Saccharomyces cerevisiae S288C: one gene and its partners. The gene in region 3 interacts genetically with the main gene of each other region. Each region holds a gene or a part of one and is shown on either strand. Other genes may lie near its edges.

Region 1 (6,708 bases), on a different chromosome or scaffold from region 3:
CGAGAGTAATTAATAGTGACATGAGTTGCTATGGTAACAATCTAATGCTTACATCGTATATTAATGTACACATCGTATACGTTTAAGTGTGATTGCGCCTATTGCAGAAGGAATGTTAAACGAGAAGCTCAGACAATACTGAAGCTGTGTTAAAGACCTATTAGCTGAACATGATATGGTAGGTACATATATGAGGAATATGAGTCGTCACATCAATGTATAGTAACTACCGGAATCACTATTATATTGGTCATGATTAATATGACCAATCGGCGTGTGTTTTATATACCTCTCTTATTTAGTATAAGAAGATCAGTACTCACTTCTTCATTAATACTAATTTTTAACCTCTAATTATCAACACAATAATATTAGGTATGTAGATATACTAGAAGTTCTCCTCCAGGATTTAGGAATCCATAAAAGGGAGTCTGCAATTCTACACAATTCTATAAATATTATCATCATCGTTTTATATGTTAATATTCATTGATCCTATTACATTATCAATCCTTGCGTTTCAGCTTCCACTAATTTAGATGACTATTTCTCATCATTTGCGTCATCTTCTAACACCGAATATCATAATATACTAGTAACGTAAATACTAGTTAGTAGATGATAGTTGATTTTTATTCCAACAGTTTATCAACTAGTAGTCACACTACCAATATATTATCATATACGGTGTTAGAAGATGACATAAGGTATGAGAAGCTTTCATCGAAGGTAGAGGAAGCAGAAATACAAGGATTTATAATGTAATAGGGTAATGGAACATATAAGGGAGGAGAAATGATGGTGATATTAATATGCAGAAATATCGATTCCATTTTTTCAAAAAAATAGTGCCAAACTATTAAGAAGTAGCGAAACAGCAAAGGCATATTTCCACATTTCGCTTTTAGCAATATACATAACTATGGTGGCAAGATACCATGCAACTAATAACTTTGCCGCAATGACACCTCTATTTCTACTTGTTGTCGTTTTACCTCTTACTTGTTTGAACATTGCTGTTCTAAGACCTAACAATAATAGTCCTAATACAAACAGAGGGCATGCTGTTATAAGTATAAAATGTTTGCTGTAACTAATGGTGGGGGAAGATTGCAAAAAACGAAGGATATCAGTTCCATTCATTTCCAGGGATTTGTGTTGATATGTGGGGCTATGAATGCGTTGAAGTTTTCAACTTCTGTGAAGGAGTTAAAACAACCACTAAACAATCTCGTTCAAAAGCTCTAATTACTTGTATATTATTTTATACGTTTATGTCTATTTCAATGCAATTACGTGAAAAATAAAAGAACGCTACCATAAAAATGTTAAAAACTGGTTAAAAATGTCAAAAAATGGTCCGAAAACTGAAAAAATATTCGTGATACAGTTTGCATAAAAAAAAACTATTGTGCGCGATTAATATAACCTACTAGACTTAAATGACGACACTTTAATATGAAGTTCAGTAGTGTGAATTAAATAAAACAGTCAGTTCTTGATGGATTGTACCCTTTAAAGAATTTATCTTTATGTCGCTGTTACTACGAAAAGCGTGTGCGAGGTATTATAACTATTTTTCTGTATTTTTTATATATTTTTATTTGCCAAGTTAAAAATCAGTCATCTCAAAAGATTCATCGATTTCAGTGTTCGGAAGGCTAGTATACTTCTTCTTTTTCTTAGTTTTCAATTTAGATCCTGCTTTGTTAGAAGTGCTACTTATGGGTGCTCCGCCTTCTAACTGCTCATCTTGTTCTAAATCATCTTCTGCCCCGAGTCCGCTTTCCAGATCATCTGCCCATGAAACTGTCTTATTGGGACTGTCATGTTGTCTATTATTTGGATCAACTAAAATTGTGTGACGCGCTTTTCTCCTCACTCTTCTATCATACGCATAAACTCCTAAAACCACTATCAAAAATGTAACGATGGTAACTACTACCGCTTTGTGTTTATACATTGAAATCTCTTCTGCAAATTCTTCTACCTCTTCCTCTTCTTGTTCATATTCTGAAGATTTATGTCTACTATCCTCGAGGCCTTGATTACTTTGTTTTTCATTATTATCGTCTTCATCATCGTCATCGTCATCATCGTCGTCGCCCTCGGAGTTGTGATCGTCTTCATCGTCGTCATCATTGTCGTTATCATCATCGCCATCTTTATCTTTATTGCCTTCTTTTTCCTTTCCTTCCTCATTCTGCGCTTCCTGTTCTTCCTCTTCGAGGTTTTCTTTTGGCTTATCACCGCTTTCAGTAGTAGCATCTTGATCACTATCGTCGTCAGTAGTAATCATAACATTTTTCCCATTGTTGTCAATGATCATAACATCGTTCGAGTAAATATCGACAATGCCTCTACTCACTAAACTTTTATCGAAGGGTACCATGTGAGAAGCATTATAAACGCTAACAAACGTCAAATTTCTATCATACTTCACGTATCCGCTAAATTCTTCGCTGTCGTCTGTACTCTTCGATTTATGGATCCAATCGAACGAAACAGCATCGTCGCTAAATCCCTTTATTCCACCCCATTTTAGATTGTCTATAGTATCTAATACGCCCTTGTTATTACAAATCAAGTCTTTGTCACCATTGAACAAGACAATCTCTATTCCACTTTCAAGTAGACCAGGTAATAAATGGATAGATGGCTTTGAAATAGGATTAGACAATTTAGTTCCAACGCTATTAGTGCATTCCTTCCAATGATCAATTTTATCAGAATCAAGATGCAACGAATCAATAACACCAGGTGTGCTGAAGAATTTACTGACAAAGGAAATATCTTTCGGCCAATTCATACCACAAGATGGATAACTATCTTTTAAATTGAAGTTATACATGTTCAAGCAATCCGCTGTTCCCTTTTGCGAAGATTCCCTGGTATAAGACAATAGAAGGTTTAAAATATTCTCACATTCCTGATACGAAAAATGGGCTGCCTCATCTGTACTGGCAGAGTTTATCAGATTCTGGCAATTCTCGTGTGCGTTCGTTAAGTGTTTGAAATTGGGGTTGCTTTCATCAATCAGTTTCTTCTCCATAGCAAACGGAAGGTACGATAGGGACTGTGTATTGGGGTCAATCCAACCGTTACCAATCAATAGCGCCTTCAAGTCGTATGTATCCCCGTCGATCTTTGAAAATTTGTTATGGTTCAAAATTGCATTGGCAAAGAATGGTATGTATTGGCCAGCGTAACTTTCACCCGATAGTATGATTTTCCTAGTGAGGTCTTCTGGAAAAATCTTGAAATAGTTCTCCAGAAAATCCATAAAATGCTTGGTCACATCTTCTAGGTCTTCGTCAAATTTGTTTTTGTCGATTTTACCTTCGTCTTTATTTTGTTCGACAGAAAACCCAGTACCAGTAGGTTGGTCGATAAATAAAAGATCGCCTTTGGATATCCAGGACCCTTCATTTAGATAAAGTTTACCGTCTGAATTCACCCTAAAAGGGCCGGATTCGACCAAGGCACCATCCATGGAAGAGCAACCGGGTCCACCATTTAACCATATAATTAAGGGACGGTCGACATTGCCATTAGAGTCGTTATTGGTAAACTTCCAAAAAAAGTACTCCAAGTCAGAGCTATCCTGTTCATCCGCATCTTCGGAACGTAAAGGAATATGGCCAGCATGCATCTGTGGAATATTTGAAGGGTCTGGCACTTCAGATAACCCTGGCAACAGCTCATATGCCACTTTGTACTCCTCAGATGACGGAAGGGATACTGAGATCCTTATTAAAGCAGACATGGCTAGCCACGTTCCGAGCCACCTATTGTAAAACATCTATTCAGGTCTTTATCTCTACGGTATTCTATAGCCAAGGTACTCTTTAACCAAAGTATGCTTCAGCAAGCTTTTTCAAATAGATGGGAGTTGAAGACAATGATAAGAAATCGCTTTTCTTAATGTTTCCTATATTATCAAAATATTCCACTTTTTTTTCTTTTTCCACATTGTTTTTCGGTTCCGGGCTGCAGTAAGCAAATATAAATGTTGGTGACAAAACTTGAAAGTTATAGCCAAAAAGCTCGCAATTCCTCACCTAACAAAATGATCCTGTTGGAATAAAAATCAACTATCGTCTATAAACTAGTAGTCACACTACCAGTATATTATCATATACGGTGTTAGACGATGACATAAGGTATGAGAAACTGTCATCGAAGTTAGAGGAAGCTGAAGTGCAAGGATTGATAATGTAATAGGATAATGAAACATATAAAACGGAATGAGGAATAATCGTAATAATATTATGTAGAAATATCGCTTCCCCTTTGAGGATTCCTCTACCCTCGAGGAGAACTTTTAGTATATTCTGTATACATAATATTGTAGCCTTGATCAACAATGAAATGCCTACAATCATCTTAAAATTCACCAATCTCTCAGCTCTTATTTAAGCTTTGTTGAGACGAGAGTTAGTTATCCGACAATACTATACAAGACATTAACATCATTTTTCGTGCTGTTAGGGTGGTGTCTTTTCATTTGTTGCAATAAATGATAAGTAGTTTACCGTCCATTAACATGTGCATTAAATAATAGCATTATGTGAACATAATGTATATTTAACTAAAACTATTATCGAAGAAATCCGAAGAACTCATCCTTGTTAGCTCAGTTGGTAGAGCGTTCGGCTTTTAAGCGCATTTGCTTAAGCAAGGATACCGAAATGTCAGGGGTTCGAGCCCCCTATGAGGAGTTCTTCTTTATTTTTTTCCCGGTTCACTATTTTTCCAAGATTAAACATGGCTCATATACACCATCCAAAAATCTCTTAATTAACCTATAACCATTGTTCTCCTTCACCTCATTCAAGAATCTGGCTTCTGAATTGCCATTGATAGAAGAACAGTACTAAATTGCGCCGGAATAATGAAGAACATCCGGGTTACCTTAGATGTCTTTTTTTCCTTTTTTTATCACATTTTTCACTCTGCACTTTTTCACTTTCTCGAGGTCCAATCTATGACTAATATTAAGCGCATTTCATTTGAAGATATGTGTATCGCAATCTTTTTTCTTATCTTGTAGACCCTCCTATACACATCTCTAGACTATATATTTGGTTTGGTTATATCTTTAAGAACTTATTTCTTTTTCTTATTTTTCCATTCCACTAAGTTAAACCCTGCAGTTGATACAGACATTGAATAGGACAACCGATCGTTACTATCATGACTTTACCTGAATCAAAAGACTTTTCTTACTTGTTTTCGGATGAAACCAATGCTCGTAAACCATCCCCATTGAAAACCTGCATCCATCTTTTCCAAGATCCTAACATTATCTTTTTGGGTGGTGGCCTGCCATTAAAAGATTATTTCCCATGGGATAATCTATCTGTAGATTCACCCAAGCCTCCTTTTCCCCAGGGTATTGGAGCTCCAATTGACGAGCAGAATTGCATAAAATACACCGTCAACAAAGATTACGCTGATAAAAGTGCCAATCCTTCCAACGATATTCCTTTGTCAAGAGCTTTGCAATACGGGTTCAGTGCTGGTCAACCTGAACTATTAAACTTCATTAGAGATCATACCAAGATTATCCACGATTTGAAGTATAAGGACTGGGACGTTTTAGCCACTGCAGGTAACACAAATGCCTGGGAATCTACTTTAAGAGTCTTTTGTAACCGAGGTGATGTCATCTTAGTTGAGGCACATTCTTTTTCCTCTTCATTGGCTTCTGCAGAGGCTCAAGGTGTCATTACCTTCCCCGTGCCAATTGACGCTGATGGTATCATTCCTGAAAAATTAGCTAAAGTCATGGAAAACTGGACACCTGGTGCTCCTAAACCAAAGTTGTTATACACTATTCCAACGGGCCAAAATCCAACTGGTACTTCCATTGCAGACCATAGAAAGGAGGCAATTTACAAGATCGCTCAAAAGTACGACTTCCTAATTGTGGAAGATGAACCTTATTATTTCTTACAAATGAATCCCTACATCAAAGACTTGAAGGAAAGAGAGAAGGCACAAAGTTCTCCAAAGCAGGACCATGACGAATTTTTGAAGTCCTTGGCAAACACTTTCCTTTCCTTGGATACAGAAGGCCGTGTTATTAGAATGGATTCCTTTTCAAAAGTTTTGGCCCCAGGGACAAGATTGGGTTGGATTACTGGTTCATCCAAAATCTTGAAGCCTTACTTGAGTTTGCATGAAATGACGATTCAAGCCCCAGCAGGTTTTACACAAGTTTTGGTCAACGCTACGCTATCCAGGTGGGGTCAAAAGGGTTACTTGGACTGGTTGCTTGGCCTGCGTCATGAATACACTTTGAAACGTGACTGTGCCATCGATGCCCTTTACAAGTATCTACCACAATCTGATGCTTTCGTGATCAATCCTCCAATTGCAGGTATGTTTTTCACCGTGAACATTGACGCATCTGTCCACCCTGAGTTTAAAACAAAATACAACTCAGACCCTTACCAGCTAGAACAGAGTCTTTACCACAAAGTGGTTGAACGTGGTGTTTTAGTGGTTCCCGGTTCTTGGTTCAAGAGTGAGGGTGAGACGGAACCTCCTCAACCCGCTGAATCTAAAGAAGTCAGTAATCCAAACATAATTTTCTTCAGAGGTACCTATGCAGCTGTCTCTCCTGAGAAACTGACTGAAGGTCTGAAGAGATTAGGTGATACTTTATACGAAGAATTTGGTATTTCCAAATAGAGAGGTAAA
Region 2 (6,097 bases), on a different chromosome or scaffold from region 3:
CATGAGCTCATCGCAAAATTTATCTCATTATCAGGTCATATAGTCACTCTCAGGAGAATCCTGCTCGATCAAAGTGAGGCAAGTAAATGCGCATATAGAAGAGAGCAAAACTGTCCTATTTACAAGCTTTTCAAAACAATGGGCTCAAAAGTAGCAGGTAAAAAGAAAACCCAGAATGATAATAAACTAGATAACGAAAATGGTTCACAGCAGCGCGAAAATATCAATACCAAGACGCTTTTGAAAGGCAACCTTAAGATATCAAATTACAAATATCTTGAGGTGATTCAACTAGAACATGCTGTGACAAAATTGGTGGAGTCTTACAATAAAATAATTGAACTTTCACCAAATTTGGTAGCTTACAATGAAGCCGTTAACAATCAAGATAGAGTGCCTGTTCAGATACTTCCTTCTCTATCACGTTATCAATTAAAACTGGCAGCTGAATTAAAAACCTTACATGATCTTAAAAAAGACGCAATTTTGACAGAAATTACTGATTATGAAAATGAATTTGATACTGAACAAAAGCAACCTATATTGCAAGAAATCAGTAAAGCTGATATGGAAAAGTTAGAGAAGCTAGAACAAGTTAAAAGGGAAAAGCGAGAGAAAATAGATGTAAATGTGTACGAAAATTTAAATGAAAAGGAAGATGAAGAAGAAGACGAAGGAGAAGATAGCTATGACCCAACAAAGGCTGGTGATATCGTCAAGGCAACAAAATGGCCTCCAAAATTACCAGAGATTCAAGATTTAGCGATTAGGGCCAGGGTATTTATTCACAAATCCACAATAAAGGATAAAGTTTACTTGTCTGGATCAGAAATGATCAACGCACATAATGAAAGACTAGAATTCCTAGGCGATTCGATCTTAAATTCTGTTATGACATTAATTATTTATAACAAGTTTCCCGATTACAGCGAGGGTCAGTTATCAACATTAAGGATGAATTTGGTAAGCAACGAACAGATCAAACAATGGTCAATAATGTACAATTTCCATGAGAAACTTAAGACAAATTTTGACTTGAAGGATGAAAATTCCAATTTTCAAAACGGCAAACTAAAACTGTATGCAGATGTGTTCGAAGCTTACATTGGCGGCTTGATGGAAGATGATCCAAGGAATAATTTGCCCAAAATAAGAAAATGGTTAAGAAAGCTTGCCAAACCTGTCATTGAGGAGGCTACCCGTAATCAAGTTGCCTTGGAGAAGACGGATAAACTTGATATGAATGCTAAAAGGCAGCTTTACTCTTTGATTGGCTATGCTTCATTACGTCTACATTATGTTACCGTAAAAAAACCCACTGCAGTTGATCCTAATTCCATAGTTGAGTGCAGAGTAGGTGATGGAACAGTTTTAGGGACCGGTGTGGGCAGAAATATCAAAATTGCGGGTATTAGGGCTGCAGAAAATGCTCTTCGTGACAAAAAAATGTTAGATTTTTACGCCAAACAAAGAGCTGCCATTCCTAGGAGTGAATCTGTGTTAAAAGATCCCTCACAAAAGAATAAGAAAAGAAAATTCTCAGATACAAGCTGAAACGTTCCTTTTACACAACCATGATGGAACTTGCATTGATTTTCTTTAGCCATATAATTATCGCATATATGTCATTCATAAAACGTTTATAAAACATTAGAATATTTGATATATTTGAATATTTGATAAAAAATTTGATAATTTTTGGGATTCCATTGTTGGTCAAAGCTATAAAATTATGTATGTACTAGAAGTTCTCCTCGAGGGTATAGAAATCCTTAAAATGGAATCGGTATCTTACCATAAATGTTCCACTAGAATGTCATCAGATGAAAAAGACGAAAGAAACATATGACTAGCTCGCGTGGCGTAATGGCAACGCGTCTGACTTCTAATCAGAAGATTATGGGTTCGACCCCCATCGTGAGTGTTTTTTAGTATTTTTTTTAAAAACAATTGTTCCTCTCTAAATTTTAATCAGTTTTTGATCATGAAGGGTTTTGTATGTAGCACATAAACATTTTTACTGAAAGAAAAGGATAGCCTAAATATTAGAATACAATAAAATTTTTTTGAGCCTAGTTTGACACATTTAAAACAGCATCCACACAGCCCCACCAGTTAGCACACTCAGTATGACTGCTGTGATGATAGCGGCACCAGCGCGATCACCTTTCTTAATGTTTAAATTGTTTTGTAGCACGTTAGTGGTCGATGAGTTCATACCGGCATTCGCGTCACCTTTTGACGTACCGCCATTATCTTCCTTATATGGAGCTGGCCTGTCATGAATTAAAAGATTTTGAATAACTTCTAGAGCACTCATTTGCTCACCTAATCCATAGTAGCCATCATTGGTTTGTTTCTGCCAATTTAAACCACATGTATGCCCATCTGTACCACCATTACATGATTTTGCAGCGGCCTCAGCACTTGTTTTTATCAAATCATCAATTGTGTCCCTAGTAAAGGGAGCCATGACACTTGTAAGACCAAGCATACGAGAAAAAATACTTTTGAATGTTCTTTGATCGGTGTTACAGGTGCCATAGTCTTGACAAGCGCTTTCGTACATAATACTATCTTTGAAGAAATAAGATTTAGCACCATTTAGAATTTTTGTCAAACTGGTCTCCCATTCACCTGTTCCATTTGTAGCATTATACATGTATGCAAGACCACCAAGCACGATACCGTGATTATAAGTCCATTCAATTTTTGTAATATCAGTGCAATTTGTATCAATTTCAGCACCATCAAAGACATTTGCAGTATCGTTAAGAACCACATACCCGACATCCACTAGCCAGTCGAAAACCTGTTCAGCAACCTCCAAATATGTAGTGTTACCAGTATATCTGCCCAACCTCGCCGCAATCTGGAACAAACATGCATTTGAAACTGTATTTTTATAATTATAACCACTATTCCAAGTGAAAATTTGCCATCTCAGACCACCGCCACAGTGCTCTGAATCCCATCTTGAGTACATGGTGTTGAAAACAGCTTGTACCATTGCCAACCAACCTGGCTTGCCGTCACCGGGGTCTGTAAAATTTCTCTCGACAGCACCCATAACAGTAATACCCCAAATACCTTGGTCATCATTCCCCTCAACCATCGTTTGGTTGGACGGGATATAATCGTAATTGGAACCAGTTTGCGCTAATAGTGCATCGTATAGTAATTCTTGATATGTATCATTCTCACAAAGAAACCAATTTTCCAACATGCCACCAAATGCTTCCCCTGCATGCCACCAATAGTATGGTGACTGAAACATCCCAACGGTACCACCGTATCTAGTACCCTCATAGTAATCCAGCATACCACCTTGAATTAACGCTGTCGCATCACAAATTGACGTTTTGCTAGTAGTATCCAAATCCATGGCATGAGTGGCTTTAAAAAATGACAGAAACGTAAAGCATATCGATAAGATCATCTTCGCACTAATATTGACGATCATATCTGCGTTCTGGATATGATTTCGTTCTAATTTGTTCGTCCTATATAACAACCAAAAATTAATAAAGGTGATTCAAAATGAGATAAAGGACAATGTACACAGTCAATTACTTAATTAGATATTTGAGTAAAGCTGATCTTTTGGAGAAATGGGCTTTTCATTAATTTACATTCTATTTTTGGGTTATACTCAGTTTCGCTTTACGCGGATTACATTGTTTTTTTTTCGGGCGTGGCTCAGATTGTGAAAAAGAAATTAAACAATTTAAGATTACGGTTATCGCATTAGAGGCAGAATAACTTGAAAATGGGAAATTCCCCAAGAAGGTGACCTATACATGACAATGCCAGGATATCATACATAAAATACATAACCCGTTTCTTGTTAATTGATTTCTTTCACCTTTTTATTGATTGTATTCATCTTTTTCTAATTATCGAAAGTGTCATTCGTGAAATTCTTCAGAAAATTTAGAATGTTATCGTCAATCAATTGGGCTACTGGGTCAGAAAATCTAGAGGCAATTTCATTATGTACTTTAGTAATGCCCATATCTTGTACTGCAACACTCAGAGCATCTATTAATATTATTGAGAACTCGATGTACCAACGATGATTCCAGCAACAAATCTTGACTACTAGATCGATGATTGAGCTGTCGATGTCATTGATACTTGACAATATTTGAGAAGAGGTTAACTCGGAGTTTGCTGAGACTGAATCCCTCCTAATACGCTTATGCTCGTCAATGTAAAACTGTAATAGATTCTTTGCGCATACTGGAGAAAATCTTTGGGAAAGCCCAATTTGGAAAGCCTTCGCAGCTTCTGGAAGATGTCCCAGTCTTTTCGCACAAAGGCCGAATAATTCCCATTCAACAGTTAATTTGTGATATTTACTGTTTTGAGCATCAAAATACAATTGCTCTGATTGCCAATCGGTGTAAGTTTTCAAATCTTCGTATAGTAACATGAAGAGATTATCCAACCATCTTTCGCATAGCCTCTTTGATCTCATTTTGGATATATCATTACCGCGAACTTCTGCTTCATCAATGGAAGAAGTGGAGCCTTGGTACTCGTCTTCCATAACGAAAATTTTTGATCTATATTTCAACAGCTGCTCCCATCCTGTTATTTGGACAATTTCTGTCAATAATTTATAGGCTAGTTGGAAAGTAGACTTTAAACTTGACGCAGAGAGATTGACTAGGTTTGGATCTGCGGACTTTTGCTCCAACTGGACATCCATGGGGTTCAATGACGAAATCTCCTCAATTGAGGCATCCAATGGTAATGGCAGATGAAGATTTTCATCTGAAGTAATAGGCGCAATTCTTCTAAGAACGTATTTTTCCTTAACCTGTGACATGGGGCAGGCGTTTAACGATAGCAAGGCATTTGACATATCGTTTAGTTTAATGTATATTCTAGTCAATAAATACCAAGTTTTAAATTCGTTTGGTGCACAGTTAACAGCCTCCATGGCTACTTCCTTAGCAAGCTTGTAATCTCTCTTGACATCCAGTAAGAATTCACTTTGAATACTTAATAATTCGGATTTGAAGATTAGCTGGATATGGCTAGTCTTTGAATCGTCGGCTAAGAACGAAGAGGGGGAATTTAGTTGCTCGTTGATCAGGTCAACTGCATCTATCTCTAAATCGCACGCAAAATAAACACGAATTAATATTATTACTGCTTCTGGATGAATTTCTATTAACTTCTTGAGCATTTTACGACATGCTTCCAAACTCTTAGTTAACCTAACTATTTCCACTAAAGTTTCCACTAAATAATTATTGGTTAACGAGGGATTTAAAACGTGAGTAGGTGCATCTAAATAAACACCTTTTTCATAGACCAAGGGGAACAGTTTAATAAAGTTATTGGCAACATCTTCCAACTCACCCGAGGTAAATGGATTGAAAATTAGTGTTTCTACCAAATTCTGGGATTCTCCATCCGCACGATTATCTTTCATAATCATAATGTCACGTACAATACCACTCATAAACGTTTCCGCCCAAATCATGTTGACGTTTAAATCCTGTGAGTTGCGGCCAGATGACGCTTCTGCCACGGAGGGAAGTTGCGATTGTTCACCGTCGCTATTTATAATGTAGGTTTGCACAGTTCCTGGAATGTGAACTATAATGTTAACATCATATTTCCTAAACGCATTCCAAGAACTGATAGAAATCTTCGATACGTGAAAGTGCTTCTTCTTACCAAACCAAATTTGGGGCGTGTCTAAGAAAAGATCGGTTATCTTTTTGGCAAAGATTGTAATAGAAGTTGGATCCGAAGTATCGATACCCATACAGTAAAAGAAAGTGCCGATCTGCCCCTTTAATTTGTCATGGGAATGTAACTCCGTAACTATGGTCGTAGGATCTTGTCCATTGATGTTTGAAGTTGCTCCGTTATCGTTGGCGGAGGCAGTAGCAGTTGTTGTGCTCGAGGATGAAGGTAACGATTTGATCAAAGTAATTAAATCAGGCGGACCCAAGTCTTGGAATTGTCCCACTCTGGCTCTCCTCTGGTGTAGCGCATAGCCTATCACGTCTTCTTTCACTTCCGGTATGGAGGTTTGAGACAACATGGTTAGGACTTCAAGTTTTCAGTTTATCCT
Region 3 (5,875 bases):
ACAGTTCAATCTACCAATAGCAATCCCGCTATCTCCACAAGTCCGTATCATGAATGATAGTGTTTCTTTTACTACCCTTCATGAAATTCACAATGAATTTTGCAAGAAAAAAGGATTTGACCCGGATGATATCCAAGATTTTATGGCAGATAAACTAAACGCAGCGCATGATGATGCTCTGCCTGCGCCAGATATGACCATATTGAAAGTTGAAATTTTCAATTCAATTCAAACAATGTTTGTACCATCAAATGTTTTAAAAGACCATTTTACCTCGTTGTTTACTCAATTTGAAGATTTCTGGTTATTCCGTAAACAATTTGCGTCACAATACAGTTCGTTTGTCTTCATGTCTTACATGATGATGATCAATAACCGTACTCCTCACAAAATCCATGTTGACAAAACCTCTGGTAATGTATTTACTTTAGAAATGTTACCCTCAAGATTTCCATATGAAAGGGTGAAACCATTGCTAAAGAATCATGACTTAAGTCTTCCACCAGATTCTCCGATATTTCATAATAATGAACCAGTTCCATTCAGACTGACGCCTAATATTCAATCTTTGATAGGTGATTCTGCTTTAGAAGGTATATTTGCGGTAAATTTATTTACCATATCACGTGCATTAATTGAACCTGATAATGAACTGAACACATACTTGGCCCTATTCATCCGTGACGAGATCATATCATGGTTTAGCAACCTTCACCGGCCAATCATTGAAAATCCACAGTTACGTGAGATGGTTCAAACCAACGTTGACCTAATTATTAGAAAGGTGGCACAATTGGGCCATTTGAATTCAACACCTACAGTCACAACCCAGTTCATCCTAGACTGTATTGGCAGCGCTGTCAGTCCAAGAAACTTAGCAAGAACAGACGTGAACTTCATGCCATGGTTCTAGAGCTGATACATGGGTTAGTTTCCGGCCTTTTCTCTGTATTTAATGAAGGTAGAGAAAGCCTCAAAAAATATGTACTATATAAAAAATTAAAATGTTTTACTTTTTATTAAAGTTGCCTAATCAAAATCCCAAAAAGTTGTATAATTTTTTTTCGAACTTGGAGAGAGGATTTGCCGAAACTTTAACACCATCTCGAATCCACACCCCGTATGAACCCATTAGGTTTGCCATCAAGATGTCAGTAAAAAGCCTATCTCCAACAACAGCAACCTCTTTTGGATTTGTTATGGTTTTGTTTCTATAAAAATAATCTAATATTTCGTTGTGACAACCTGGTTTCTTTGTAGAGTGCCGCAAAACAGGTATACCTGTCTTATCTTCCAAAAGTTTTGCTTGCGAATAGTCCTTATCAGAATTGGAACCGGCGGTATTGCTAACAATCAAGAGTGCTTTGTTAGAGTATTTCGACCTTAAGGTTTCCCAGTGTTGCAAGTAATCTGGCCATATTTTGTCATCATGAGGGAAGGCGATGCAGTTGTCCTTATCCAAGACCACGGCCTTTATAGAATCGTGGATTGGTATAGGAAGATCGTTAAAAGTGGGGACAACTAGACTAGGCTTACACAGTGATGGGTTATAAAGCAACCGGAGCGTATTTAAGGTGCCACTGATGTTCATGACTAGGTAGAGGAGACGATGTAATGTAACTGCCGCCTTTCAGTTTGGCCCCATATATATATATATATAAACAGACGGATAATTATATCATATTAAATGCGATAGCATAAATTTCTCGATGCGCATTGGTAAATTGTAGCATGGCGCGAAGTCTCTCATGGATAATTTTGCAAAGAATCGATGTATATAACGAACCATAATCAAGATACTTGCTGGGATGGCTTTTTCTGGATCTCTTGCACTTTTTTGAGCAGTTGTGGTGACGTCTGTTTCACGTTGTCCTTTTTATTAGTAATCTTCTCATCTACAATAGTTTTTTTTGTGAAAAAAAACTGAATAAGAATATACCCAACCAAAATTGTGAAAATCAGCTGTAATAAACCTCTGTTATTCTCAATTAATTGTGAATCAAATATTGAGACATACTCCGAAGGTGGCTCTGAAAATCGTGGAGTATAGTCATTAAACGACAGACGAGGCACATCCAAAACTCTATTATTTTGTTCCACTTCACCCACTCTGGATTTTATGTCAAAGATATCTGGAAATATTTGGATAGGGATGATCGACTCGTGAGCCAGCGTAGTTCCTGGGTTTAACGAGGTGTAAATGACATTTTGTTCTGGCGACGGAATCTGCGCCAGTATAGTCCTCAAATACTTGTCATAATGGCGGAATGCTTCTTTACGTTCATTAGTGTCCTCTGGTAACTTAGGGTACTCTATTATAATCACTCTTTTTTCGCTATCAATAAAGGGCTGGAAATCTTCTGTATTATTACCTCGTAAGTTCAACACCTGGTCTACGTTACAATACTCCTTTACAAACTCTGCAAGATCATAGTATAAATCTTGAGGCAATAGGTCTACCTTTTCGAACTTAATCGCGGTTGAACTCCGTCTTATATATCTCTGTAACGAAACAAACTCTGTTTCAAATTCCAAGAAGTCCAATTTCCTCAGGCCTGGTTGATTAATAAACACATAAGTGTCAGCATTACATACACCTAAGAATTTCTCAGCCGCTTCAATAAAGGTGTCTCTTGGTAAAGTCACAGCCCTATCATAATCCTCTTGATACTTTAAAATACCGGGAGTTCTATCCAAAAGTACAAATATGTGTATAACATCTAGTTAGTAAGAAAAATGAAAGTTACTAAAGATTAATGTTTCTTGTTCTACATACAGTTTGTAAGAGAAGAATATTGCAGGAACATTGGTCTGGTTTTGCAATTCCTCCGAAGCACAAAAGCTTCCACACATAATAAGCAACAAATATTTCAACACAGTTTGCATCTTGCCTTGCTACTCCTAATTAGTATGCGCCTACGTTTCCTAACTACAAAACAGATAGGTATAACCTGCAACTTAACCTCCGCTGCTGATATTCTTGGCCGTAGTTAAGAGAGGTTTACATTACTACAGAGCTAACCCGTGTTGCATGATATCATCGATATAATTAAAGAATGCACATATGTCAGCGGTACTATCGCATACAATGCTCTATCAGAACTCTAGATAACGTTAGAACATATCCTCCCAGGTTTCGCCACATCTGTGGCCTCGTTACTCTATTCGTTTCACTCTTTCTTATCTATTTACAGCCCATCGAGCAACATTATCATGCCACACGTCGATCTCAGGCCGATCTGACAATCTTTAAAGGCATCAACAAGAGCAGCAGCTTGCCGACGTGGCAAAAGTCAAAGAAGAACAGAGGCAACTCGTCCTACGTGAAGCCACATACAACAAGTTAGGAACTATTAGGCGGAACCGCTTTCTAAGGAGCTTACTACTTTTAACAGTACTACTTTTAACAGTACACAGATAAAGAAACAAAAAGTATAAATTTGGGCGCCATCGACTGGCAAGCAAAACACGTATAGAGAACAGGCAGTAATGACGACGAAGCCACAAAATAGTAAGCAGGGTTTAGCCGAAGGAGAGATGGATGTGAGTTCACTTTTCAAGAGAACGGAAGTTATTGGGCGAGGGAAATTTGGTGTGGTTTATAAGGGCTATAACGTGAAGACTGGACGAGTGTATGCTATCAAAGTCTTAAATTTAGATTCTGATTCTGACGAGGTGGAGGATGTGCAGCGAGAAATTCAGTTTTTGGCCTCCTTGAAACAGATTTCCAATATCACGCGGTATTATGGGTCGTATTTGAAAGACACAAGCCTTTGGATCATAATGGAACACTGCGCTGGTGGTTCACTGCGTTCGTTGTTAAGGCCAGGCAAAATCGATGAAAAGTACATTGGGGTTATTATGAGAGAACTGCTTGTAGCATTAAAATGCATTCATAAAGATAACGTCATTCATCGAGATATCAAAGCAGCAAACGTTCTGATCACTAACGAAGGTAATGTTAAACTATGCGATTTTGGTGTCGCTGCACAAGTAAACCAAACTTCTTTACGACGTCAAACTATGGCTGGGACCCCCTACTGGATGGCTCCAGAAGTGATCATGGAAGGCGTTTATTACGACACTAAAGTAGATATATGGTCTTTAGGTATTACAACGTACGAGATTGCCACCGGAAATCCGCCATACTGCGATGTGGAGGCCCTAAGGGCAATGCAACTAATCATCAAATCGAAACCACCGAGGCTTGAGGACAGATCATACAGTACATCTTTGAAAGAATTTATTGCGCTTTGTCTTGATGAGGATCCAAAGGAGAGATTGTCAGCAGACGATCTTTTAAAATCAAAATTTATCAGGGCCCACAAGGCGACGCCAACGTCCATTTTGAAAGAACTAATATCACGATATCTACTATTTAGGGACAAGAATAAAAACAAATATAAAATAGAGGGCAGTATACCGGAAAATGAGCCATCAAAACCCAGTGAAGCTCCAAAACCATCACAAAATGGCGGGGGTGATGAAGCACAAAAGTCAATAGCATCAAATGATAATGAAATTAAGAGAGTGAACGAAGGCGATGTGGAAATGAAATGGGATTTTGATTCATTGAGTTCGTCGGATTATATTATTGAAAATAATATCAACCTCGATGCTTTGGCTGAGGACAACAACGAGTGGGCTACTGCCCAACATGACCTGTTCAACTATGCATACCCTGACGAAGATTCTTATTACTTTGACCCTACAAGTCATAATACTAGACCCTTTGTTTATCAAGGGACAACGATAGGAAAGGGCTATCCTGGTACAATAGCTCAAAATTCTACTTTGAATGCACCAGTAACAAATAACTATACGAACTCAAAATACCCTTCCAAAATGGTAGCTGGAACTACAAACACCTCTGGAACACATACGGCCGGTCCAATGACATCATCTAAGAGGCTGGAAAGTAAGGCTCCAAAACAATTACTTGAACTTTTTGAAGACAATGAAATTATTACTGCTGAAAATGATGTCAATACAGAAGCTCCTAAAATAAGCAAATCCATTTCATCTCTAAATGCTGGTAATAGTTCACGAGATGATTTCATTCCCTCAATATCCAACGAGGTCAACGGAAATATCAATAATAATAAAATGCGACCACACCTTCCACCTTTATCCAGTGGGAACAATTATTATAGCCAGAGTACACCTGCTTTGCCGCTACTCCAAACAAAATTTAACAAGACGTCAAAGGGCCCTCCAACAAGTGGATTAACTACTGCTCCAACGTCTATTGAAATAGAAATTCCTGAAGAACTACCGAATAGTGCTCTACCAACGCCTGCGAGCGCAGATCCGGTTTTAATACCAAGCACAAAGGCCAGGTCATCTACAGTGACGGCTGGCACTCCTTCGTCATCTAGCTCAATACAATATAAATCACCTTCAAACGTGCCCAGGCGGTTGACAGTCAGTAACAATAGGCCAGAACATTGCCCAAGCACCATAACAAATCAAAAATTGGGGTCCGCAGTTGCTTCTAATTCCGGAATCAGCTCCACTCCGAACAACAGTAATAACTATAACAACAACACTGATAGTGAGAACTCAAGAGGAAGCAGCGGTAGTAACACTGCAAATAGCACACAAATGGGCATAACCAATCCAGGTAATGTAACAAAGTTATCTACTCATAAGGCTTCTTCACCCTCAAGGCCACTATTTGGAGTTGGAACTTCTCCCAATAGAAAGCCTGCCGGTTCCCCAACCCAAAACATTGGTCATAATTCTACTCACACGAACCTCGCGCCTCCTCCTACGATGAAACCAATGGCCAATAGCAAAGATAACAAGGACATTCTCTTGCAACCTCTGAACAGCATACCTAGTTCTTCTACACTTAACACTATTAGTGGTAATA
Region 4 (6,083 bases), on a different chromosome or scaffold from region 3:
CCATTTTTCGATGAGTCTAATCTATATTTTTCTTGATTTTTTGGCGAGAGAATATGTGCAAATGGCTTCTGCTCTTCGCGGTCATTCCAATTAAGATTTTTACTGATACTTTCAAAAAATTCACTGGCAGATGACTCGATAGTCGGTACCGAATAGGGGCTTGCAGTTATCACAACATAGTCACCCTGTTTCAATTCAACTCTATCTTTTCCGTCAAAATTCACCCACGACGTCCCTCTTGAGTTCATATCTACTCTAACTTTTAATTCCATGCTATCTGGTAAAATTATAGGCCTAAAGCTCAAAGTATGAGGACATATAGGCGTCACCGCTATGGCATTTACGCTTGGCGATATTAAAGAGCCTCCTGCACTCAATGAGTATGCCGTGGATCCCGTAGGCGTGGCAACAATCAATCCATCTCCCTGAACCTTAGTCATTAGTGAGTCGTTTCCATAGAGTTCTAATAGGGATAAACAAGGAGCTGGACCTCTATCTATGGTTACTTCGTTCAATACGTGATGTTCGGAGATGAAATCGATGTAACATATTTTTCTCCCAGTTGCGGCATCAATTTCTGGTTTATTTCTACGGTAGAGTTTGCATTGCAACCTCATTCGTAAATTAATACGAACCTCATCTGTTAAGATATGTTTCAACGTTTCTTTGAAATTTTGAAATTCAAAATTTGTTAGAAATCCTAATGATCCAAGGGCAAATGGAACAATCGGCGGAACATCTTTCGTGAATATAGATGAAGCAAAAAGGACAGTTCCATCACCCCCTAGTGTAATCATCAAGTCAAAGAATGAATCGTGTTTTTTAACAAATTCTTTTGACCAATACTTTACTCTGTTTTTACTGCAATTGCTGTCTTTGCAGAGGTCACCAACAGCAAACTGAGTTGACTTTTTAAAAATATCTTGTACATATACAGTTATTGAATGGAAATTGCGTAAGATCCATTCCACCACTTCTCTCATGAGAAATACAGTGGAAATATCATTAATATTGCAGATTATTATCAGGTTTTCAACCTGCAAGTCAACCTTAGCATTTATAAGATCCTTTCTCAAACGCCTTACATCGTATGCAGTATCAACATAAAATGGGTATAAATTACTCGTGTCCTCACCGACAATTGTTTCGCTCGATAATCTTCTGACCCAGTTTTTTGCATCATGATAACCGCACCTCATTAAGCCCGGTTCTTCGAAGTTGCTTAATACCTTGCCTTCCGCTAAAACTTTAACTGATGTCATTCTGTCAATAGTATCCATAGTATCCATCTCAGCATCTCCCTTGGTACATGTCTCCGGGGAAGCGTTAATCAGTAATCTATCAGTTTTCATATTCTCTTTTAGTAAAAAATGTCACGTAAGCAGATTTATTGAGATTGCACTATTTCCATTTCCCTTTCACAACGCTATAGAAGTGAGATGAATACACTAACCTGATTGTAGGTTTATTTATATATATAATATCAATAGCTAGCAGTTTATTAAACGACCTGAAATGCAGTTTCTTCGATCACCAGATAAGTCCGATTATCCTTTTGTTTTCGATTTTCTTGAGGACCGGTGTGATATCCACAATCACCCTAAAACTAAAACAAAGCCATATAGTCTTAAAACAACGGAACAATCCATAACAAAAGTATATTAAATTATCTCATATGTTCAAGATTATGAGGTCCTAACAGATAACTCTTCCAGTTCATACTCAAACACCTGAAGGCGTGGCGGGCTTTTACCAAAAATGGATAAACCTCGGAAGGCCTTTTCAATCCCCTGTCTTGGCGGCGGTGTTATAATAAACTATTGTGGGGATAATAGTGATTTTCATAACGTAAAAATCGTTTACATATTGTTCAAGGGTTATAGAATAGGACATATAACAGAATACATATCACCGCAATCTCCTCTTCCTTAATATACATGGGACGAAAAGCGGTGTCCATGTTCTTATTCAAGCTGATTGAATTTTACATTTCCAGTTATCAGCTTTCAACAATGGTAATGACGCACCTAAACACCAACCGATTTCTTTATTGGCAATTTTCTTTCCAGTTCTCAATTCTCTTTGTAATGGAATGTCATATCCCGTATGTAATAAGGACACTTGAAAAGATAAGTCCAAACAGAAGTGCGAGTCACTTTCCAATTCATCTAGGGACCCCGCAATGCCACTGAAGACACTATTCCAAGTTTCTTCGCCTTTACACACTATTCTTGCCAAATCGTTCAATTCATTCAAAGTAAAGGACAAGGGCATACCCAATGGACGGGTTCTGTCGTAGAAATAAGAGAAAATATAGATATCGTTCGATTCTTTGAATGTACGAACTAAAGAAGGTTGGTGAACCCCATTGAAAGAGCATGGTGGAGACTGGCACTGAGCATCTTTATTCAAAATTTCATCAGTCAGAAATCTACATTGTGCACCACTTGGCTCGTCCGGCCCTATAAAGTCAATGGTATAAGTTTCCTTGGATTCTAATGTAACCTTTTCATTTGTGGCATTAACTTTAGGCGGTAGGCATGGAGATGACAATTGATGAGTCTTAGTGTTATCACCCTTCAATATTTTGCCGTCTTTTAATGCATTTTCCACAAGAACAGAGTTAACTTTATTTCTTCCTTCCTTCAAACCGTAACCTAGATGAGAAAATTGGTACAAGGTGTAATTTTCATCACCAAACTTCAAATCAAATTTATGCTCACCATCGACCATTTTTTCATTTATTGGGAAAGTAGGCTCAAAAACAATTTGTGTAGACCCTCCGCCTAAGTCAAAAACGGCAGCAGTAGGTAACTTGGGGCCATTAGCACCGATATTACCTAATAGGTAGTTTGTAGTAATCCAGGCGAAGACACCTTCTTCATCACCGCCCATGATGGAAACACCATCACCTTCGACAACTGGGAAAGGATAGTCCTTCTCCAAATGATCCCTTACAGCGCTCAAAATTTTTGAAGATTTGGCATCACCCAAGAGTCTTAGGCCTGCAGTAGCTTTCACCGCAACGGGAGTACAACTTCTTGCCTTAATAGGGACATAGTTCATTGCTACTTTCAGTAATGGGTCAAGGGAGTTAGCGGCACCAACGGAATCGGTATCGAAAGAAGATAAACCAGGCTCTAACATGTCGAATTTTTCATCAAGTAATGTAGGTGGGGAAGTACAGACGTCAAACTTGTATATATGTACTCGGGAACCGGTAGAGCCGGCATCGATCATGATAACATACTTATGTTCTTCGCTGCATGTTTGACTTGTTTGTGACTTCACAGCATCGGCAAGCTCAGGATAGTTTTGTTCAGTCTTCGAATCTTGAAGGTAACCTGGTTCATCATTGACGGGCAAGATAGAGATGTCCTCCGGAGTTTTGGGAATACTAGCATTAGGAGTAACTGTACGTGCAATAGAAGGTGGACCGATGGAAGATGTTTTAATCAACAAAATGAGCATAATAACGGCAAAAGCACCGATAGCGAACCGGTAATTTCTAAAGATGGGCGCCATGTTTTTTGTGCGATGATGTCTTAATGTTTCTTCTCGAGAGGACCCTTAACTGTTCGCCAATAAAGATTGTTGATTGCAGTCCTTGCCCTTTTTATTAGTGCTTTCTCCTTAAAACCAAAATTAAATAAGCTTGTAAAAGAAACTGTTTTTATATTTGGAAAATCGAAGCACTATGCAAGGAATATTATTAATGTTGACAGTTATTTTTCATGTGTTATGTTTTTCATATTGAAGTTGTAAAAAGATGGGAAAAATGAAATTGAGACGAGACGCCAAAATAAAAAGAAAAAAAAAAAGAAAAAATGAGATTAATACCGTTACCCTATTGATGATTAAGAATAAGCTCAAACTGCTTTCATATATTATGTTTCATAATTTATATATCTACATATATACACGACCTGGAAGTATTATAATATTGTTCATGAGTCGTGACTGTGCGGGTTAAATAGATTATTCATACCGCTCTTGGACAACAGTTTTGACATTCTTCTACCGCTTGGACTAGTTGATGGAGTTGATGAATCTTGAATATCCGTGTCCGCATTAGCAGGTGATGATGCAGACTTGTGCTTAAACTTGGACCATGCAGAAGAAATGCTGCTGTTACTTTGGTTCCTCTTGTGAGAAGGCTTAGGGCTTGGTTCTTTAGCGGGAACCTTTGGACCCACAGGCACATCGAGGTGATACTGCTCCTCCAATGGAGGAGAAAGTTGATTTGTATTTGAATTCCATATGGAGTTGAAAGGTGGTGAAGAGGCATGGAAAGATCTTCGTGTAATGTTATCCGCCGTTGGTTGATGGTTCATTGTTAATATGTTCGAGTGTGAAGGTGTTAAAGTAGTGTTATTGCCTGGAACAATGGGCACATCGTTTGAGAGTCGTGGGCTCAAGTTTGGCACCAATAAATTGAAGTCACTTGATATCCTTGGACTAATGTTCTCGGTTTCATTGCCATTGATATTGTTCTGTAAGGAGTTTGCAGGTTGCGGAGCACTGTAGAAAGAACCACTGCGTACAAAACTTTGTAATGAAGGATCATTCAATGTAGCGGCGAGTAGACTCTGTGGATGCATAGGATTCGTATTGGTTGCGTTGGAGGTTTGTCGCAAATGAGAACTAGAATATGGAGATATTACTGGGTTAGCCTTATATGATGACATAGGTGTTCCAGTCGTAGAGAAAAGACTTTCATTTGTGCTGCGCACCTGGGGTTGCTGCTTAGTCCAGTAATTGTCAAGTTCGTCTGTAGTAAAACCCTTGGAATAATTGCTTATGTTATCAGGATAGTCTGTTTCGTCGTAGATCATATTTTGCAAACCACTGATTAAGTGGTTTGCATTATCGTATTCAAAAGCTTGATCCAATTCTGTAGATACTTGTTGATGCGAAGGTTGAGCGAATTGTGCGGTGGTCCATAAATTTGACCTTGAGTGACCATTAGTTGCTGTTGCTGTTGCTGTTGCATTAGCAGTAGCAGTTGTAGGTAAAGCATGTGAATATGAAGAAGGCTGTTGCTTGTTTTCGTTGTTCGATGAGATGTGATTGGAGAGCATTGATCGATTATCGGTGTCCTGTGTCAATTGACTCAATAGACTGCTTGAAGGTTGTATGGGTTCATTCGAAGGAGAGTACGAAACTGGATTGTGCAACCTCAACGGAGGAGCAGAATCAGCATTACTGTTGTTAATACTTTTGTTATTATTCGATATTAAATCAATGGACCCCGTTCTTGACATGTTGTTGGATAATGGTAATTGAATCGATCCAGAACTTCTGTTTTTTTCCGCGGAATTATTCGAATTGGTGGCAGCAAGCGAATCACCGTTATTCTTATATGGTTGAACCATTAATTTTGTTTTCAAATTCCGATTATTAAGGCTCATTTCATTAAATTGGTTTTCTAAAGCACTAATTTTCTTCAACAAATTTGACCTCTGCAATTTCCAGTTGGCCTCCAATTCTTGATCAATGCTTAGCTCTTGCTTAATCATTTTAATCAATGATGAGTCTGCATTCAATTTGGATAGAAACTCTTCACCAGCATTACTTAAAAATCCATTTTTTTCTAAAGTAAAATCATTGAGCTTCTTCAAAACAGCCGACAATTCTCCGCTAGCAATAGGTTTATCGTTTTCCACATTGGCATTCACCACTATGGAAGTAATCAATGATTTTTTGGAGGCGTTCAATCTCTTGTTAGACTCCTCCATCTTGGAAATTTCATTTTGTAAAGACTCAATTTCTTTGTTGATATTGGCCACAGAGGCATTGGATTCATTTAGCAATTTGAAATATTTCTCCTTTATGGTATCCTTAGACAACAGCTCGGTATCTTCCTGAGACCATTTCTGCATATCATTGCGCATTTTCGATATTTTTTCCTTGGATTTGTCGATTTTCTTGTTCAATTTTTCGATTTTCAAATCGGTCAATAGTTTAGAATTCTCCAATGACTTGATATTGGATTTCAAGGATTTCCGCAAGTCAATTTCGTGCGACCAATGTGTTTTCAAGTTATCCAGTTCTAGTTCTAATTCTAACTTCGATTCTTGAAA

The links.
Region 1: mutations in BIG1 (region 3) and KEX1 together harm fitness more than expected from each alone (negative genetic interaction), as found in Saccharomyces cerevisiae (2 studies listed by BioGRID).
Region 2: mutations in BIG1 (region 3) and DFG5 together harm fitness more than expected from each alone (negative genetic interaction), as found in Saccharomyces cerevisiae (3 studies listed by BioGRID).
Region 4: mutations in BIG1 (region 3) and GDA1 together harm fitness more than expected from each alone (negative genetic interaction), as found in Saccharomyces cerevisiae (2 studies listed by BioGRID).

Annotation. Positions count from the first base shown.
Region 1 is NC_001139.9:110,863-117,570, forward strand, and holds KEX1 (serine-type carboxypeptidase), read right to left. Parts: upstream 3,803-6,708; coding exon 1,613-3,802; downstream 1-1,612. Other genes in the region: YGL204C (uncharacterized protein), read right to left, coding at 838-1,143; ARO8 (bifunctional 2-aminoadipate transaminase/aromatic-amino-acid:2-oxoglutarate transaminase), read left to right, coding at 5,197-6,699.
Region 2 is NC_001145.3:743,719-749,815, reverse strand, and holds DFG5 (putative mannan endo-1,6-alpha-mannosidase), read right to left. Parts: upstream 3,464-6,097; coding exon 2,087-3,463; downstream 1-2,086. Other genes in the region: RNT1 (ribonuclease III), read left to right, coding at 139-1,554; BCH1 (exomer complex subunit), read right to left, coding at 3,893-6,067. UniProt on the Saccharomyces cerevisiae protein: Required for normal synthesis of the cell wall.
Region 3 is NC_001140.6:313,083-318,957, forward strand, and holds BIG1 (Big1p), read right to left. Parts: upstream 2,887-5,875; coding exon 2,777-2,886; intron 2,690-2,776; coding exon 1,792-2,689; downstream 1-1,791. Other genes in the region: histone acetyltransferase TRA1, read left to right, coding at 1-913; GEP4 (phosphatidylglycerophosphatase), read right to left, coding at 1,034-1,591; putative serine/threonine protein kinase KIC1, read left to right, coding at 3,490-5,875. UniProt on the Saccharomyces cerevisiae protein: Required for normal beta-1,6-glucan synthesis.
Region 4 is NC_001137.3:71,213-77,295, reverse strand, and holds GDA1 (guanosine diphosphatase), read right to left. Parts: upstream 3,526-6,083; coding exon 1,969-3,525; downstream 1-1,968. Other genes in the region: YEF1 (NADH/NAD(+) kinase), read right to left, coding at 1-1,352; GTA1 (Gta1p), read right to left, coding at 3,948-6,083. UniProt on the Saccharomyces cerevisiae protein: After transfer of sugars to endogenous macromolecular acceptors, the enzyme converts nucleoside diphosphates to nucleoside monophosphates which in turn exit the Golgi lumen in a coupled antiporter reaction, allowing entry of additional nucleotide sugar from the cytosol.